2 linked regions of the Anolis sagrei genome follow. The protein of the gene in region 1 purifies or fractionates together with the protein of each later gene. This does not show direct contact. Links are inferred from orthologs where the notes say so. Each region holds a gene or a part of one and is shown on either strand. Other genes may lie near its edges.

Region 1 (10,829 bases):
GATGGTTGCTTTATTTGGAATGCCTGTAAAGTTGAGTTTTCTATAACACCATGTAACAAAATTGGAAAAATGTCCTGTTCCTGGTTTGAAAGGGTTATTTCTTGCCGTCCTGACTTTGAAAGGAGTCGTTCTGCTCCAGAAACTTTGTTTTTCTGGCCGCCACAAACTAGGTTGTATTGGTTGAGAGCCTATTATGAGTTATGTAGTGAAAAACGATATCGCAAAATGTGCTGTAAGAGGTCTCTCCCGCAAAGACAACATTTTTGCAGTTTTAATAAACTTTTCCCCATGTTTTTATGATAGAACCAATTAGGGGATAATTACATTTATAGCTCAGGAACAAAACCCATGTTATATCTATATAAATAAAAATGTAATGTTCGTTTGTGGGATTAACAGAACTCAAAAACCACTGGATGAATTGACATCAAATTTGAACACAAGACACCTAACAACCCAATGTATGTTCTTCACTCAAAAAAAATGATTTTGTCATTTGGGAATTGTAGTTTCTGGGATTTATAGTTCACCTACAATCAACCCTCCCACACAAACCCCATGTGGGCCACAGCAACGCATGGCAGGGGACGGTTAGTAGTGTAATATAATTATAATAATATAATACAATAATAATATAGTATAATAATAAATTTAATTATAAAACAATATATTATAATATTATAAATACTATAATATACTATAATAAAATATAATTATAATTATACAATTATAATGTTATTATACTAAATATAATTATAATATAATTATTGCTTTTCCTTTATTCCTTTATCCGACTTGTCGTTGATCCATACCTTTGGGCTTCACGCAAATCTACCATTTGTTAAAATATATTATCCTGTGCTATTTTTTTCCATTTCTGGCTGAATAGCTTAAATTCAGATATTTTGATATTATAATTCTAATAATATAATATAATGTGCTATAACAAGATGTCACAAAAAAACAAAGCTTTGCAGCTTAATAAACGTTTTCCCAAGTTTTTATGACAGAATCAATTAGGAAATAATGACATTTATAACCCAAATAGGGCAAGACATCCACCAGCGAATGCACATACATGTTTTCATGGATGTTACAATTTTAAAGGATGGTCCCTAGATCAGTGGTTCTCAACCTTCCTAATGCCATGACCCCTTAATATGGTTCCTTATGTTGTGGTGACCCCCAACCATCAATTTATTTTCGTTGCTACTTCACAACTATAATTTTGTTCCTGTTAGGAATCATCTTGTAAATATCCAATATGCAGGATGTATTTTCATTCGTTTGGCACAAATACTCGATACGCCCAAATTTGAATACTGGTGGGGTTGAGGGGAGGATTGATTTTGTCATTTGGGAGTTGTAGTTGCTGGGATTTATAGTTCACCTACAATATCAAAGAGCATTCTGAACTCCACCAATGATGGAATTGAACCAAACTTGGGACACAGAGCTCCCATGACCAACAACAAATTCTGGAAGAGTGTGGTGGGCATTGATCTTGAGTTTGGGAATTGAACTTCGTCTATATCCAGAGAGCACTGTAGACTCCAACAATGATGGATCTGGACCAAACTTGGCATGGATACTCCATATGCCCAAATGTGAACACTCGTGGGGTTTTGGGAAAATAGACCTTGAGATTTGGGAGTTGTACTTGCTGGGATTTATAGTTCACCTACAATCAAGGAGCGTTCTGAACCCCAATAATGATAGAATTGAGCCAAACTTCCCACACAAGAGACCCCCCATGACCAACAGAAAATACTGTGTTTTCTGATGGTCTTTGGCAACCCCTCTGACACCCCTTCGCGACCCCTCCAGGGGTCCCGACCCCCAGGTTGAGAAACACTGCCCTAGATAGTGGGAAACATTCAATGAGAAGACCAGACCTGCTTTTTTCGGCCGGACTGCGACAGCTTCCAAGGGTTTTGGTCCATAAGAGCAACCATGTGCCATTCTTCCTCTGCGGTGATGAAGTCTTCCAACAAAAACACTCCCGGAAACGGGAAGGCCCAGCCAGCAAAGTCGGAAGGCTTTTCTCCCACAGCCAAGCCAGTCGTCGGGCAGTAAACAAAGTTTACATTTTTCTATTGAGACAAGAAAAGGGGAAAGGATCACAATCGTCTTGTCATTTGCATTTGCAATTTGGATACTCAAGCTCAGAAATGGGTCATCACATTATTGTGGGGAGTGGGATGCTAACCCAGAAGGCTTCCCCATTAGGTTTAATAAATTGGGGTGGGGTGATAAATTGTCTGGGAGAGTCTACAAACATGGACTCTAAAAAACGGTAACGGTGAGTGATTTTGATTAGATCACTAAAAGAGTTTTTGAAATGGCCAAATGTCACTAATTAAATTTGGCTCTAATACTCGAGACATAGAAATTTGGCTTTTAGTCAAACAAATATATATGTAAGGACTAGGAAAAATGGGAACCCAAGAGTTGTGGAATGGAATACCTGTATGTAACTATTTTGTATTAGGCACCCACCCAAAATTTAAGAAATTTTGAATAACGGATAAGATTGGGATATTATTATTATTATTATGTGTATTTATGACTGCACGATGCAAATCCTAATTTTGGAGAGGTAATTTAGCTAAACCAGATGAGTGTTAGATTTGAGTAAATAGTTATTATTATTAATATTATTATTTGAAACACAAGATGAGTCCACAGCAGACACTCTGCTGGCTGTTGTATTGGATCACACGTCTAGGACTGTGTGATGTATCGGCGAATAATGCGTGCAGATCCCAGTAAGGTGGCCTCTTGCAGTTGGCAGACTGTAATTTTGTCAGCGCCGATTGTGTTTAAGTGCAGGCCAAGGTCTTTAGGCACTGCACTCAGTGTGCCGATCACCACTTCTTCTTCTTCTTCTTCTTATTATTATTATTATTATTTATACCCGCCTGTTTCTCTCCGGAAGGATACTCAAAGTAGCTATGCATCTATTATTAGTAGTAGAATTTATTATTATTATTATTATTATTATTATTATTATTATTATTAGCTATCCCCTGCCACGTGTTACTGTGGCACAGTCTGTGTATATGTGTTTTGTGTGTGTATATATGTGTGTGTATATATATTTGTGTATATGTTTGTTTGCATATATATATATGTCTGGTTTTGCGCATGTGTTGTAATGTAATTTTTTTTGGCTTTTGAAATCACTTCCACTATGTTTTTCAGTGTTTTTATGAGTGATGATCACTCATTGGCCTGACAGTTGTATTGTGTCCAAAATTGGTGTCAATTCGTCCAGTGGCTTTTGACTTGTTAATCCCACAAACCATAAATTATATTATAGATGGTATATTATCTTATATAATTGTCTTAATTTGCTTTTAATTCCACTATCTCAGTATCAAGTCAATGCATACTTAATAGGAGCTTATCTCTTGCTGAACCCTTAATAACCATTAAGGCTATTAACAACTACAGTAGCAAAGGAGCAGAATTCCACTCTTAAATGATCAAAAAGCCATTTGGCAATGGCAGGAATCGTGGCTGGGATAAGTCAGGTCACGGTTTTGTTACAAAAACAGCTTTGTAAATGCAATATTATTTCTTTAACTTTTTTTTTCCTCCAGTTGCTTGAGAGTTTTGAATAACTGAAAGTCTCCTGGAAAAGCTTCCATAGACTAAAATCTCTCTCATTCCACAACAAGGATGGACTTTGAATGTTTCTATGAAATGTAATTATGATGTTTAAAATACCGTTGATATTTAATTCTGTTTTAATGTTTGTATATATTTGTAGATGTAGTCATGCCGGCCACATGACCTTGCAGGTGTCTACGGACAACGCTGGCTCTTTGGCTTAGAAGTGGAGATGAGCACCAGAGTCCCAGAGCCAGACATGACTGGACTTATTTATTTATTTGTCGTGTCAGAGCAACCAGTCTATTATATATTACATTTCTAACAGAACAAAGCAAACAGACAGAAAAATACACAACTTGTGAGTTTGGTAGTTGGTTAAATGTCCTTTGACCAGTATCTAGCCACTTGGAGTGCTTCCGGTGTTGCTGCAAGAAGGTCCTCCATTGTGCATGTGTCAGGGCTCAGGTTGCATTGCAGCAGGTGGTCAGTGATTTGCTCTTCTCTGCACTCGCATGTCGAGGATTCCACTTTGTAGCCCCATTCCTGAAGGTTGGGTCTGCATCTCGTGGTGCCAGAGCACAGTCTGTTCAGCGCCTTCCAAGTCACCCACTTTTCTGTGTGCCCAGGGGGGAGTCTCTCATTTGGTATCAGCCATGGTTTGAGCCTGCCACTTTTGGACTCTCACTTGCTGAGGTGTTCCAGCGAGTGTCTCTGTAGATCTTAGAAAACTATGTCTAGATTTAAGTCGTTGGCATGCTGGCTGATACCCAAACAGGGGATGAGCTGGAGATGTCTCTGCCTTGGTCCTTTCACTATTGGCTGCTACTTCCCAGTGGATGTCAGGTGGTGCAATACCGGCTAAGCAGTGTAATTTCTCCAGTGGTGTGGGGCACAGACACCCCGTGATTATGCGGCATGTCTCATTAAGAGCCACATCCACTGTTTTAGCATGGTGAGATGTGTTCCACATTGGGCATGCATACTCAGCAGCACAGTAGCACAGCACAAGGGCAGATGTCTTCACTGTATCTGGTTGTGATCCCCAGGTTGTGCCAGTCAGCTTTTGTATGATATTGTTTCTAGCATCCACTTTTTGCTTGATGTTCAGGCAATGCTTCTTGTAGGTCAGAGCACGGTCCAGAGTGACTCCCAGGTACTTGGGTGCGCTGCAATGCTCCAGTGGGATTCCTTCCCAGGTAATCCTCAGAGCTCGGGATGCTTGTCTGTTCTTAAGATGAAAGGCACATGTCTGTGTTTTAGATGGGTTGGGGATCCGCTGGTTTCCCCTGTAATAGGCAGTGAGAGCACCTAGAGCTTCGGAGAGCTTCTGTTCCACCGTCTCAAAGCTCCCTGCTTGAGCAGTAATGGCACGATCATCAGCATAGATGAAACTCTCTGTCCCTTCTGGCAGTGGCTGGTCATTTGTGTAGATGTTGAACATGGATGGAGCGAGCACGCTCCCCTGAGGCAGGCCGTTCTTCTGTTTCCGCCATCTGCTTCTCTAGCCCTGGAACTCAACAAAAAAGCTCCTGTTTTGTAGCACGTTTCCTATGAGGTGGGTGAGGTGGTCGTCCTTTGTGATATTATACATTTTTCTAAGGAGGAGGCGGTGGTTCACAGTATCATAGGCTGCTCACAGGTCTATTATGCAACCAGCATAATAATAATAATAATAGTAATAATAATAATAATAAACTCTATTTATACCCCGCCACCATCTCCCCAAGGGGACTCAGGGCAGCTTACATGAGTCCAAGCCCGACAATACAATACATCAGTATAAACCAACACAGCAATAAAACAAAACAAAACAAAAAATACAGGGTTGTTGTAGGGTTTTTTCGGGCTATATGGCCATGTTCTAGCGGCATTCTCTCCTGACGTTTTGCCTGCATCTATGGCAAGAATCCTCAGAGGTAGTGAGGTCCTTCTGGCTGATGTTGATATGGAGGTGCAGCAGTTCCTTGTCTGTGTTTGCGAGTTCTTTGCGGATGGTGTGAATTCTCTCTCGTAAGAGGTTGCGTTCAGAGGTAGTGAGGATGCTTGCCATAGATGCAGGCGAAACGTCAGGAGAGAATGCCTCTGTCTAGAACATGGCCATATAGCCTGAAAAAAACCTACAACAACCCAGCGATTCAGGCCATGAAAGCCTTCGACAATACAATAAAAAACCATAATAAATAACATAGCAGCAATAAAACACAACATTTAAACAACACAAGGATATATTAATATTATATATATTATATTTGATATATACACACATGCTGTATTTAAATAATAATTGTATTTTATTATATATTATTATTATATGACTATTTATATTATTATCCATTATATACTATAGATTCACACACATGCTATATTATATTGATATTATTATATATAATTATTATTAGTATTAATGTATGTATGTATCAGGCCTGGGCCAACTTCGGCCCTCAGGGGGGTTTGGACTTCAAGTCCCACAATTCCTAACAGCCTAGCGGCTGTTAGGAATTGTGGGACTTGAAGTCCAAACCCTCCTGAGGGCCGAAGTTGGCCCAGGCCTGACAGACGTGCCACGTAAGGGAGGAGAAGGGAGGCGAAGGCGCTCTGCACACGCTCAGGGGCCGGGAAGGGGCGTGCCTCGCCGAGGAAGCCTTCCCCTTTCCCCGCCCCTTCCCCTCCTTCCTTCCTACCGGAGGCGGCGCCGGCGTGGTGGGGCGGCGGGCCTGGCAGGCCAGGCAAGAGCGGGGTCTGGTGCAGGCGCAGGCCTCCCGCGGCCTAGCTGCTTCTCCCCCGCCTCCGTCTCCGCGGCCCCCGCCGCTCCAGTCGGCATCCGGCTCCATCCTCTTCCCCGCCGGACCCCCGGAGGCCCCAGCCGCGGCCAGGAGAAGAACCGAGGGCGGGCGGCAAGCGGGAGCAAGAGCGGGGCGCTTCTCCTGAGGTAAAAAACTACGCGAGGCCCGGCGCGGAGAGAGGAGCAGGCCGCTCCCACCGGCGGAGAGAACGAGAGGGAGGGAGGACGTTGAAAAGGGCGGGAAAGGCTTCCCCAGGCCTCGCGAGGGAGGGAAGGAGGGGGAGGGAACTCGCTTTCCCAGAAGCGCCTTGCGCGGCCCCGGCATTGAAGGAGCCTTTGCGCTCCCTCCCGGGGCATGATGGGAGTTGAAGTTTCGGCGCCAAACTCTGGAGGATGCTGAGGAGGATGCTCCTTTTGGGAGAAGGAAGGGGCATTTTTTGTTTCCCTGGCGACATCTTGGGACCCGTTTCTCTCTCTCTCTCTATCATCTAAATATAGAGTATTCATCAGTCTGTTTATACATATGAGAATATATACTATATATTAATATTATACATAGTATATTATATATATACACACATGCTGTATTTAAATAGTAATTGTATTTTTATATATCATATATTATAGGATATATTATATATTGTATACGCTATAAATATACATATTATATATTGTATACACTATATATTATATATTATTATATATTGTGTACACTATATATATTAATATTATACATATTATATATTATATACAATATATATATTAATATTACACGTATTATATTTTACATACACATACACTATAGTTAAATAATAATAATAATTGTATATTATGTATTGTTTACACTATATATATTAATATTATACATTTTATATTTTATATATGCACACATGCTATATTTAAATAGTAATTGTATTTTTATATATTATATATTATTATACCATTATATTATATATTGTATACACTATATATTAATATTATATATATTATATAATATAAAATATAATATAAAATATTACACATATTATATATACACACATGCTATATTTAAATAGTAATTGTATTTTTATATATTATATATGATTATATGATATATTGTATACACTATATATTAATATTATACATATTATATTTTATATATACACACATGCTATATTTAAATAATATTTGTATTTTATTATATATACTTTATATTATATATTGTGTACACTATATCTTAGTATTATACATTTTATATTTTATATATACACATATGCTATATTTAAATAGTAATTGTATTTTCATATTATATATTATTATAGGATATATTATATATTGTATACGCTATATATTAATATTATATATATTATATATTATTGTATATTGTGTACACTATATATAAATATTATACATATTATATTTTATATATACACACATGCTATATTTAAATAATAATAATATTTTATTTTATATATTATATGATTATTTATATTATTATGTATTATATACACTATATATATTAATATTATACGTATTATATTTTACATACACATACACTATAGTTAATAATAATTGTATATTATTATATATTGTTTACACTATATATAATAATATTATATATTATATTTTACATACACATACGCTATATTTAAATAATAATTGTATTTTATTATATATATTATATCAGTGGTTCTCAACCTGGGGTCTCCAGATGTTTTTGGCCTACAACTCCCAGAAATCCCAGCCAGTTTACCAGCTGTTGGGATTTCTGGGAGTTGAAGGCCAAAAACATCTGGGGACCCTAGGTTGAGAACCACTGTATTATATGATTATATTATATGCACTATATAAATATTATACATATTATATTTTATATACACACACATGCTATACTTAAATAGTAATTGTAATTTTATATATTATAGGATTATATTATATATTGTATACACTACATATTAATATTGTACATATTATATTTTATATACACACATGCTATATTTAAATAATAATTATATTTTATTACATATTATATATATATGATTATTTATATTATATATTATATACACTATATATATTAATATTACACATTTTATATTTTATTTATACACATGCTATATTTAAATAATTATATTTTATTATATATATTATATGATTATTTACATTATTATGTATTATATACACTATATATATTAATACTATACGTATTATATTTTACATACACATACACTATAGTTAAATAATAATAATTGTATATTATTATATATTGTTTACACTATTAATATCTATTAATATTATACATATTATATTTTATATACACATACACTATATTTAAATAATATTTGTATTTTATTATCTATATTATATATTATTATATATTATATACACTATATATTAATATTATACACATTATATTTTATATACACACATGCTATATTTAAATAGTAATTGTATTTTTATAGTAATTGTATTTTTATATATTATTATAGGATTATATTATATATTGTATATACTATATATACACATGCTATATTTAAATAATAATTGTATTTTATTATATATATTATATATTATTATATATTTTATACACTATATATATTAATATTATACATATTATACCTTATATACACATACGCTATATTTAAATAATAATTGTATTTTATTATATATTATATTATATATTATTATATGATTATATATTGTATACACTATATATATAAATTGTATTTCATTATATTTTATTTATTTATATTTCAAATTTATATGCCGCCACTCCCCTAGGGCTCGGAGTGGCTTACAAGAACAAACTAAAATCTAACACAAAGTAAACAACATATCAAAGATCAAAGGCCTGTCGAAACAAATATGTCTTGCAAGCCCTGCTATACTCACATGCTATATTTAAATAATAATAATTGTATTTCATTTTATTATTATATGATTATTTATATTATTATATATAACTATATTTTATACATATTCTATATATTCACATGCTATGTTATATTTGTATAACAATAATAATAGTATTTTAATAGTATTTTATTATATATTATTAATATTAATGTATGTCCTGGGCCATTATATATGCACACATACATACATATATGTGTGTGTTAGTGTATGCATATGTAGATAGATCATATATATATATAATCTATATGTTTATATATCATCTAGATATGTACTATAGATCATATATATACACACAAAAATCTTATCCTTGTATTGAGCATATAGTTGTTATTATGGTTCTCTTTGAGACAAATGGAGTAAATTTATTTATTTTGAGTACTTTTTGAAAAATCATTTCACGCAACTGGAGTTTGAAAAGAGATTTTCATAAAAATAAACCCATTGGGAAACTTGGTGGCAAAGGCTGGCCTCGCCAAAGAGTTATAATTCATTTATTTTAGCTTCGTAATTCGATCTCACCTTGCTTTTCTGTGATTGGAAAGAAAACTGATACAAGATGGAAATCTGCCAGAACAGGTCTGAGTAAAAAGATTCATTTACATATTTTTATATTCCACCCTATCTCCGCAAGGGGACTCAGGGCGGATCACAGTACACATACACAGCAAACATTAAATTCCGTTTGGGATTTCTGATCTTTTTCTTTATGGTGTTGTCAAATACCTCCCCTTCTTGTTTTAGCGCTACCTAATTTCTCTACTTACAGCTCAAGCTGTTTTTGAACTGCTTAGGTAAACAGTAACCTGGGCTGACAGTTGGGAGCTCATGCCGACTCAGGGCTTTGAACTGGCAACCTTTCAGTTGGTAGATCTTATTATTGCTGGTGATTTACCAACTCTGCTAAAGCCCATCCTGAATCCAAAACAGACTTGTCACTGAAGTAGATGTTGATTTGGACTTCCAACAGGAAAGTTTGGTTGTTGAGGAAAAGAAATAAATGTCCGTTCTCACCTCGCTAAAAAAGAAGAGTGTCTCCTTTGAACTGTGATCTCTCTTGTTAGAACGAGAGTCTATTCTTTCTCTATTGGTTTGTAAGCTGCCTGTTTCGGATTATTTATTACACCCAAGTGATTGAACTGCAGCTACAAACTTTGTTTTTCGAAATTGTGGTTTCATCTTCAAATTGGCGGGGATGAGAGACAGGGCCTTCAATGTGTTTTGATCCCATCATGATTTTATTTCTTTCGGATCCTGAGGTGTCTTGTAGCAACCCTGCCATTTGTTTCACATTTCCCTTTTGATTTCTTGAAAGCTTGCAGAATAGATCTCTTATATCTCTGCCTGGGTTTATTGTCATTGTTCTCTTGGTTTCCTCTCATTTGTTCTTTGCTGTTTGGCTGAAACTCACCTTGCATTTGGCTGCCTTTTTTGCATTCCTCCTTGTGTTGTTTCAAGGGTTTCTCTGGCTCCCAGTTGTCCAGACGCGAATGGATTTTTCATAGGAATGTTAAATTCTATAAAGAATTTATGTTTTGTC
Region 2 (10,431 bases), on another chromosome or scaffold:
TCTGCATACAAGTGACACCGGACCCTGAAACTCCAGACGATCTCCCCAGCGGCTTCATGTAGATGTTTATCAACATGGGGGACAATACTGAACCCTGCAAAACCTCACAAGACAATGGTTGTGGGGTCGAGCAGGTGTCTCCCAACAACACCTTCTGGGAATGACCCTCTAGGAAGGACTGGAGCCATTGCCAAACGGTGCCCCCAAGGCCCATTCCTGTGAGGCGTCCCAGAAGGATACCATGGTCAATGGTATCAAAGGCCGAGGAGAGGTCCAGCAAAACCAACAGGGACACACTCCCTCTGTCTAGCTCCTTGTTGTGACTCAGCTGGAACCACAGAGTCTCTGATGAGGATGATGGGACTCAGGTTCACAATGTCCCTGTTATAGACAGTGAGTTTCCCACATCCAGGAATGAGATTGTTGATACTAAAACTAGCCAGGTGCAGGTGCAGATTGATTCAGAGACGGATGACAGTTCTCAGCCTGATAATGAGCAGAAAGAGAAACAGGTTGACACTAACAAACAGACTGACCTTGACGAAACAGAAACCTTAGATGGGGCTGACCATTTGGAATTCAGAGTTCGAAGAAGTGTGAGAATAGCTAACAAGAAGGAGGTCAGAGGCCAAAGAAATGCCTTCATGTTTTGCAAAGGGTATTAAGCAGTGTGTTTGGGATCAAACCTTTGTCAGAGCAACTTTTCGTTTAACCAAGAAGCTTGCCTTTGCTTGTCTGGATTATCTTGCAGTTCTTGTGCTCATGATTTCAGGACTTAGTCATGTTCTCATGGGATTTTGCTTTGCTGGTGCCTTTTTGGGTTAAGCTTCAAAGTGCTATTTTGTATTGATCTTTTGGAACATTACCTTTGCTTTTAAGAACTTTTTACCTTTTATTTTCTAATAAACTATAAAGACTTTTGGCTGTCTGCAGTTTGGTGTTTTTCAGCAAGGTGAATCTACTCTGAGATGCAACACTCCTGGTGTAGATCATCAACTAAGGTGACCAGGCTGTCTTGGTTCCATGTCCCGGCCTAAAACCAGACTGTTATAATAGGTGTCAGACCCAGAAACAAAAGACAACATTTATGTAAATACCTTGATTACATCTCTAAAGAGGCCTTGCTTTCCTGCGGGGTTTGGATATCTCAGCTGGATATTGAGCTGGCTTCTTGAATGTTCAACCCACCAACAGTTTCCCAAGCACATTTTATATAGTTCAATTTTTTTTTAGGTGCTCAGTTCTTGCGAATATACGTATATGTGTGTCCTCTCCCCTGATTGTTCATCAATAAAGAAAAGATATGTGCAAGGGTTCTTCATCTGTGGCAGATTTGAAAAATAGTTATTTCAATACAGTTGTGCATAGTTTTCTTAACAGAGAACAGGAGAAAAGAGGGAGATTTGTCTGAGGAAGCAGATAATAGGACCACTGAGGTCTAATTTTTAATTGTATCTTAAGGAAAGACCTTTTTGTGTTTCCTGTCTGACCTGAGGGGATTTTCCTGCACAACCAGTTTTTCAGTTTGTCTCTTAGACTTGGTAAAAATAGAGGGTGCTACTTTAAGCAAGCTCAATATTTAAGTTAATTGATATATTTCACATCGATCAGTTATATCAATGAAGTAAAGGGAGTTTTGTAATAATTGTTGTGGCTCAGTCTGAGCCTGAGCTTTCTGAGCCTGAATTTCCTCAGGACGAGGAGGATGATGGATTGCAGATTTCTGAACATGTCCCTGTTGTTAATGCAGACAGTGTTGATATTGAAGACGAGGCGGCGTTTCAGTTTCCCAGGGAAAGGAATGTTGTTTTAGAAGATGGTCATGATTTGAGTGAATCTTCATAGCTGCAGGTGGAGGAGTCGACCCCTCCATCTGTGAGCTCAGTGCCTGTCGATTCCCAGGCTGGCCAGTCCCAGGATAATGAGTTATTCGGCCTTGAAGGTGATGGGGATTTGGTTAGGGAGGACCGTTTGCAATTAAGGGTTCGCCAAAGTGCTCAGCTTGCTAACAAATGGGAGGGTCAAGGTCAACGTAATGCTTTCATGCTAGGGAAGGATATTTAAAGATCTGATTGAAGTCAACCCTTTGTCAGTGCAACTTTGCTTACACCCTGTTAACTTCTCTGGAATTGCCTCGGTTTTTGGGGAGAGCTTTTGGCTCTTTGGGACTTTAGTTTTGAACTTGGTTTCTGGGGACTCTGTCATGCTGCCATAGATTCTTGTTTGACCAGTGCTTGTGGATTATACTTCATGTTATTTGCCTTTGGACCTTGGAAACTCTGCCTTTGCATTTAAGACTCTGTTTGGCTATTGAACTTTTGCAACCTTTTTTCTATGTATATGATTTTGCTTTTTCTTCAGTAAACTACAAAACCTACAGCCTTGGTGTGTGGTGATGTTCTGAGCAAGGTGAATCTATCCTGAGTTGTGACAATAATAGTCATTTATAAATCATTCATCAGTACTTTTCTGGGGATTTACGTAGAAGGCCCGGAAAAATCACATCTTGGGTTGTTGTAGGTTTTCCGGGCTATATGGCCATGTTCTAGAGGCATTTTCTCCTGACATTTTGCCTGCATCTATGGCAAGCATCCTCAGAGGTAGTGAGGTCTGTTGGAAGTAGGAAAAATGGGTTAATATACCTGTGGAAATACCAGGGTGGGACAAAGGACTTTTGTCTGCTGGAGCTAGGTGTGAATGTTTCAACTGACTACGTTGATTAGCATTTAATGGCTTGGAAGTCCCTGGGGGAATCTGTCTTTGAGAGGTGATTTGATGTGCCTGATTGTTTACTCTCTGTTGTTTTGCTGTTGTAATTTTTGAGTTTTTTAATCACATCTTCCTTCCCAAAATCTCTTCTTTTGTTAATATGGCACATATATTTTTTGCTGACATGTAGGCCTAAGACTGACACAGCTGCATACTCATAGAAAATAGGTTGTGGAAAAAGATCAAGCTGAGTAACAGATAGGCTTTTTCTATTAATCTCAGTAAGCAGTTTATTAGTCTAGGGTAAAATTCAGCTTTTTTAAAAAAACAGTTTTATAAATTGGGAAGTGAAGCCCATATCAAGCCCTTCTTTGCTATTGCAACAAAGACTGTTCTGCATTTCAAAGGTTTTGTTTGTCACAGGATGAAGTACAGCAGTTCAGCTGTCTTTTATGCTCTTAGTATAAACTTGCAGCAATATACCAGATTGATATGTACATGAAAAACAGTCTGACACCGAACCACAAAATTGTTGCAGGGAGTTTGCCTACATACATGTAAACATATACTTGCATAATTATTTTAATGTATTGTCGAAGGCTTTCATGGCCGGCATCACAGGGTTGATGTAGGGTTTTTTTTCAGGATATATGGCCATGTTCCAGAGGCATTCTCTCCTGACGTTTTGCCTGCATCTATGGCAAGTATCCTCAGAGGTAGTGAGGTCTGTTGGAACTAGGAAAATGTATATCTGTGGAATGACCAGGGTGGGACAAAGGACTCTTGTCTGCTGGAGCTAGGTGTGAGGACCTCACTACCTCTGAGGATGCTTGCCATAGATGCAGGTGAAACGTCAGGAGAGAATGCCTCTAGACCATGGCCATATAGCCCGAAAAAACCTATAACAACCCATTATTATTTTGTTAGAGCCTTCCATATTAAAAGGAGCATTTCCTAGATTTCTGTAAATGTTATTTGCAGCAGGTGATCTTAGTCTTTGTTGCAACAATAAATTAGAATTGCAAGTTTCATGTAAAATAATATAAAGGTAAAGGTTTCTCCTGACATTAAGTCTAGCCATGTCTGACTCTAGGGCAGTGGTTCTCAACCTGTGGGTCCCCAGATGTTTTGGCCTTCAATTCCCAGAAATCCTACCAGCTGGTAAACTGGCTGGGATTTCTGGGAGTTGTAGGCCAAAACACCTGGGGACCCGACTGCTCATTGGAGGGAAGGATAGTAGAGGCCAAGATGAAGTACTAGGTTCTTGTGGATTTTTTCGGGCTATAGGGCCATGTTCTAGAGCATTTCTTCTGACGTTTCGCCTGCATCTATGGCAAGCATCCTCAGAGGTAGTGAGGTCTGTTGGAATTAGGACAATGGGTTTATATATCTGTTGAATGGCTGGGGTGGGGCAAAGAGCTCTTCTCTGCTGGAGCTAGGTGTGAATGTTTCAACTGACCACCTTCATTAGCATCTGAAGGTCTGGCTGAGCCTGGGAAAATCCCCTGTTGAGAGGTGTTAAGATGTGCCTGGTTGTTTCCTCTCTGCTGTTTTGCTGTTGTAATTTTAGAGTTTTTTAATACTGGTAGCCAGATTTTGTTCATTTCCATGGTCTCTTCCTTTCTGTTGAAATTGTCCACATGCTTGTGGATTTCAATGGCTTCTCTGTGTAGTCTGACATGGTGGTTGTTGGAGTGGTCCAGCATTTCTGTGTTCTCAAATAATATGCTGTGTCCAGGCTGGTTCATCAGGTGCTCTGCTATGGCTGACTTCTCTGGTTGAAGTAGTCTGCAGTGCCTTTCATGTTCCTTGATTCATGTTTTGGCAATGCTGTGTTTGGTGGTCCCTATGTAGACTTGTCCCCAGATGAAGTACTTTGGCCACATCATGAGAAGAAAGGAAAGCTTAGAGAAGACAAAGATGCTGGGGAAAATGGAGGGGAAAAGGAAGAGGGGCCGACCAAGGGCAAGATGGATGGATGGTATCCTTGAAATGACTGGATTGACCTTGAAGGAGCTGGGGGTGGTGACGGCTGACAGGGAGCTCTGGCGTGGGCTGGTCCATGAGGTCACAAAGAGTCGAAAAACGACTGAACGAATGAATAACAAACTTCCAAGGATTTTGGTCTCTGTCTTTCCAAAGATGTGGTCCTAGATCAAAACCCCAGCAGATACCAAGGATCCACACATTTATCTCCTCTTCATTTTAAACCAAGGATGCAGCAATTTAGGGCACTCTCAAGTTTTTGAAGAAGTGCAGTTTCCATCATCGTCAGGGGTGGCTCAACCCATTACGCAAAGTAAGCATTTGAAGTATAGTTGATTTTGCTCAGGGGCGCTCATGAGGCGCTCTTGGGGGAAAATAGACCTTGACATATGTGAGTTGTAGTTACTGGGATGTATAGTTCACCTACAATCAAAGAGCATTTTGAACTCCACCAATGATGGAATTAAACCAAATATGGCACACAGAACTCCCACGACGAACAGAAAATATATATCAGTGATAGGTGGTGGTGGTGGTGGGGGGGGGGGGGGAAATACTGTTTAATGTATTGTCGAAGGCTTTCATGGCCGGAATCACTGGGTTGTTGTAGTTATTTTCGGGCGGTATCATGGGAGTTCTGTGTGGGAAATCTGGCCCATTCTATCGTTGGTGGGGTTCAGAATGCTCTCTGATTGTTGGTGAACTATAAATCCCAGCAACTACAACTTCCAAATGTCAAGGTCTATTTTCCCCAAACTCCACCAGTGTTCACATTTGGGCATATTGAGTATTCGTGCCAAGCTTAGTCTAGATCTATCATTGTTTGAGTCCACAGTGCTTTCTGGAGATAGGTGAACTACAACTCCCAAGCTCAAGGCCAATGCTCGCCTACCCCTTTCATTATTTTTTGCATGGTGTGTGCCAAGTTTGGGTCAATTCCATCTCTAATGAAATTCAGAATGCTCTTTGATTGTAGGTGAAATATAAATCCCAGCAACTACGACTCCCAAGGTCTAGAGAATGAAAATACATCCTGCCTATCAGATGTTTACATGTTGATTCATAACAGCAGCAAAATTCCAGTTATGAAGGAGCAACGAAAATAATTTTAGGGTTGGGGGTCACCACAACATGAGGAACTGTATTAAGGGGTCGCAGCCTTAAGAAGGTTGAGAACCACTGGTCTAGAGGCATTCTCTCCTGACGTTCCACCTGCATCTATGGCAAGCATCCTCAGAGGTAGTGAGAGGTAGTGAGGATCCTCACTACCTCTGAGGATGTTTGCCATAGATGCAGGCGAAACGTCAGGAGAGAATGCCTCTAGACCATGGCCATACAGCCCGAAAAAACCTACAACATCCCAAAATACTGTTTGCTTCCCGTTGAAAATTACCTAGGGCCGCCTCTGAATGCAGTCAATGCTCAGGGGGGCTACAAGACAATACCAGGGAGAGGTCACAGAGTCTTTGGGCTGAACTCATGCACTTGGAGGCTACTTTTAACTACAACTCCCTCGATTCCAGGGCATACACTGGGGCCAGATTGCATTCATTCATTCTCATTGGATGACGTCACTCACGGAGGCGGCCTATCACTTCCTCTCCCTCACTAGGAGGAAACAGAGCGCGCGGATTTCCAGCTCCCGCCTCCTCTCGCACGCCGTTGGTAGATGCCGACAGAGTGACGTCGCAGGTGGCCAATCAGTGGCGTCATCCCCGTCACGTGCGCCGCTGCCGCCGCTCGCGCTCCTGCCTCGCCACGCCTCCTTTTCCATCCCCTCGTTGGCAACGAGAGCCTGGCAAAAGGTAAACAGGTGATGGGCTTGAATTTGGGGCTGGGGTGGAATTGTGAGGAGGCTGAAGGTTAATTTCTCCTCTCAGGTATTAGTATTATTATCATTATTTCGACAACTACAACTTCTCAGCGAGGCTCTTCAGGCGCCAGCTTCCCAGTGAGGTGCTGCTCTGTTTCCCACAAAGACTGCCATCTCCTGAGGTAAACTTGAAGAAAGTTGTTTTGAGTACTTGATTGACAGACTGTTCAGAATGACTGCTTTGTTATTTTTGCTTTACTGTTTTTTTTAAATCACAATAAACAACACAAAATCTCATTGGAGAAAGGGAAAATGCTATTTTGATGTACATTTTAATTGGGAGCATGTGAAACGACCAGGCTCCTTCTATACTGCCATATAAAATCCAGATTTTCTGTTTTGAACTGGATTATATAAATCTACACTGCCATTACTTACTTTACTTACTTACTTAGGCAATCCCTCATCTTTTTTAATCGTGTCAGGAGCGACTTGAGAAACTGCAAGTCGCTTCTGGTATGAGAGAATTGGCCGTCTGCAAGGATGTTGCCCAGGGGATGCCCGGATGATATGATGTTTTTATCACCCTTGTGGGAGGCTTCTCTCATGTCCCTGCATGAGGAGCTGGAGCTGATAGAGAGAACTCATCCACCTCTCCCCGGATTCAAACCTGCGACCTGTCGGTCTTCAGTCCTGCCGGCACAGGGGTTTAACCCACTGCGCCACCGGGGGATCCACGATCCCTCATTGGCCGAGTAGGATAGTCTTCTATGATCAGTATTCTTGTGGATCCGTCTGTGACTGTGGAGCCCTATTCTTGACCTGCATCTTCTCCTGCAGTGAGGGCATTGGTTTCCCAGTGGAAGGCGGTCTCGGTCAGGGTTGGCTTGATGCGCCTTCCTCTTGGCACATTTCTCTCTTTCACCCTCCATTTTTGCCTCTTCAAATTCTGCAGCACTGCTGGTCACAGCTTACCTCTAGCTGGAGCGCTCAAGGGCCAGGGCTTCCCAGTTCTCAGTGTCTATGTCGGAGTTTTTAAGGTTGGCTTTGAACCCATCTTTAAATCTCTTTTCTTGTCCTCCAACATTCCGTTTTCCGTTCTTGAGTTCGGAGTAGAGCAACTGCTTTGGGATACGGTGGTCAGGCATCCGAACAATGTGGCTGGTCCATCAGAGTTGATTTATTTATTTATTTATTGTGTCATCAGCAACCATACCATTGTATTACATTTCTAACAGAACAAAACAAACAAACAGATAGAAAAAGCACAAATTTTGCAACTTGGTAGTTGATTAAATGTCCTTTGACCAGTATTTAGCTTCTTGGAGTGCCTCTGGTGTTGCAGCAAGAAGGTCCTCCATTGTGCATGTGGCAGGGCTCAGGTTGCATTGCAGCAGGTGATCAGTGGTTTGCTCTTCTCCGCACTCGCATGTCATGGATTCCACTTTGTAGCCCCATTTCTTAAGATTGGCTCTGCATCTCGTGGTGCCAGAGCGCAGTCTGTTCAGTGCCTTCCACGTCACCCAGTCTTCTGTGTGCCCAGGAGGGAGTCTCTCATCTGGTGTCACCCACGGATTGAGGTGCTGGGTTTGAGCCTGCCATTTTTGGACTTTCGCTTGCTGAGGTGTTCCAGCAAGTGTCTCTGTAGATCTTAGGAAACTATTTCTTGATTTGAGTCGTTGACATGCTGGCTGATACCCAAACAAGGGGTGAGCTGGAGATGTCGCTGCCCTGGTCCTTTCACTATTGGCTGCTACTTCCCAGCAGATGTCAGGTGGTGCGGAGTTGATGGCGGAGGACCATCGCTTCAATGCTGGTGCTCTTTGCTTCTTCCAGCACACTGACGTTTGTCTGCTTGTCTTCCCCAGAGATTTGCATGATTTTTCAGAGACAGCACTGATGGAATTGTTCCAGGAGTTGCATGTGACGTCTGTAGACAGTCCACATTTCGTAGGCGTATAGCAGGGTTGGGAGGACAATAGCTCTATAAACAAGCACCTTGGTATCCCTACAGATGTCCCTACCATATAATCCAGTTCAGAGCAGATAACCTGGATTTTAAATGTCAGGGTAGAACAATACAATAATTAAAATGAAGAACAATTTCAACAAAAATAAAATTATTAGTATTTCAGTGGGAAGTGTGGGCCTACTTTTGGCTGATGAGAGGATTTTTGTTATTGTTGTGTGCTTTCAAGTTATTTCAGACGTAGGTTGACTCTGAACGAGGGCCGGGTAAATGACCTTGGAGGGCCACATCTGGCCCCCGGGCCTTAGTTTCAGGACCCTTGTTCTAAGGACAGTCTCTCCTGAGGTTTCACCTACATATATGGTCAGCATCCTCAGCCATAGATGCAGGCAAAACGTCAGGAGAGAATGCCTCTAGAACATGGTCAAATAGCCTGAAAAAACCTAGAACAACCCAGTGATCCCAGCCATGAAAGCCTTCGACAATACAAAGTTTATTATTATTATTATTATTATGGGAACCCCTGGTGGCACAGTGCGTTAAACCGCTGAGCTGTTGAACTTTTGTAATTTGTCTTTTTTAATATATTTGTTTTGCTTTAACCATTTTTTAGATTGTAAGTGTGACTGATATTATGTACATTGTTTCCTCTTGTTGTAAGCTGCCCCGAGTCCCCTTGGGAAAAGGGATATAAATAAAGCATTATTATTATTATTATTATTATTATTATTATTTCTAACCTAAAATTGATCATACTTGCAAGAATGTGATTTTTAAAGGCAGATATCAAAAGGGAAATGTACCTGATATGTCTTGTATCAACAGTGTGTTTGTTGAAGTATAACTTTAGCTTCACTCACTCACTCACTTTCAGTACAACTTATCCATTCTTTTTTAAGTTGAGAAAAATCTGATTCAGTACAACTAATTGAACATTATGGTTCACTAAAACAGTGGTTCCCAAACTTTGGTCCTCAGTGGTTTTGGGCTCCAACTCTCAGAAGTTCGAGCCAGCTTCCCAGCTGTTAGGAATAGTGGGAGCTGGACCTGGAGGACAAAAAGTTGGGACCCACCATACTAAATAATTGGTTCCAGTACATCAGTCCAGAAAACTGTAGATTTGTGTATATTTTTCCATGGAAAGCTTTCTGTTTTGGTTAATATAGATACAGTATCTATTTTAACCCTTATAGATACCAAAATTCATTGATGATCAGGGTCCATGTGGCATATTGTATAAAATAGTAAAATCAAGTTTCTTTTGGTGGATTTTTTCATTTTTGGAATATTAGCAAGCCATGAATGGTTGAATTGTGGATACCGAATACCTGATATGGAGGGTGTTGAGTGCATAGCTAATCCCCACAATCCTGGATAATTTCTAGACAGGATGTACTGTGCAGATATTCTGTCTTTCTCTTGAATGTTTTTTCTGTAGTAAGGAAAAGCATGCAAGAAGCAGTGGAAGAATAAGGGAGGATTACTAGTGAAGAACATGAATGCACTTAAAGGCCTCATAAAAGTAGGTGAATGAGGCAAGGCAATGGTGTTGTAAAAGCCTTGTCTACAATTGCTCACTGACTTTTATTGTAGTTTTCAAAGAAGTAAGTGTGCTTGTCTCTCACAGCATAAAAAAAGAACTAAGAAGGGGGAGGAAATATGTGACAGCACCTTTAATACTAATCTGTGGACTTCATTTGATTTTAAATTTAATTGATTTTAAAGTGGAGATAACTGATTTTAGTGTTTATATCTATAGTTTATTGTATGTACCAGCATTGAATGTTTGCAGTATATGTTGTTATCCGCCCTGAGTCCCATTCTGAGTGAGAAGGATGGAATATAAATGCTTTAAATAAATAAATAAATAATAAATTAATTAATGTCTATGTTTCTCCAAATGAAATAGTTTGCTGTTTGTAATTCTTCTGTGTTTTTCTGAATGGGTTTGACA

Evidence for each region.
Region 2: the proteins of LRWD1 (region 1) and ORC5 purify together in Homo sapiens (affinity purification with mass spectrometry; 4 studies listed by BioGRID and IntAct, with this or other methods). This does not show direct contact. The link is inferred for Anolis sagrei from reciprocal best matches to the Homo sapiens genes LRWD1 and ORC5.

Annotation. Positions count from the first base shown.
Region 1 is NC_090031.1:24,210,206-24,221,034, forward strand, and holds the start of LRWD1 (leucine-rich repeat and WD repeat-containing protein 1), read left to right. Parts: upstream 1-6,458; 5' UTR 6,459-6,547; intron 6,548-10,829. Other genes in the region: ALKBH4 (alpha-ketoglutarate-dependent dioxygenase alkB homolog 4), read right to left, coding at 1,896-2,093, 6,300-6,449. UniProt on the Homo sapiens protein: Required for G1/S transition. Recruits and stabilizes the origin recognition complex (ORC) onto chromatin during G1 to establish pre-replication complex (preRC) and to heterochromatic sites in post-replicated cells.
Region 2 is NC_090025.1:84,684,177-84,694,607, forward strand, and holds the start of ORC5 (origin recognition complex subunit 5), read left to right. Parts: upstream 1-6,412; 5' UTR 6,413-6,500; intron 6,501-6,506; exon of another isoform or gene 6,507-6,690; intron 6,691-9,915; exon of another isoform or gene 9,916-9,999; intron 10,000-10,431. UniProt on the Homo sapiens protein: Component of the origin recognition complex (ORC) that binds origins of replication. DNA-binding is ATP-dependent. The specific DNA sequences that define origins of replication have not been identified yet.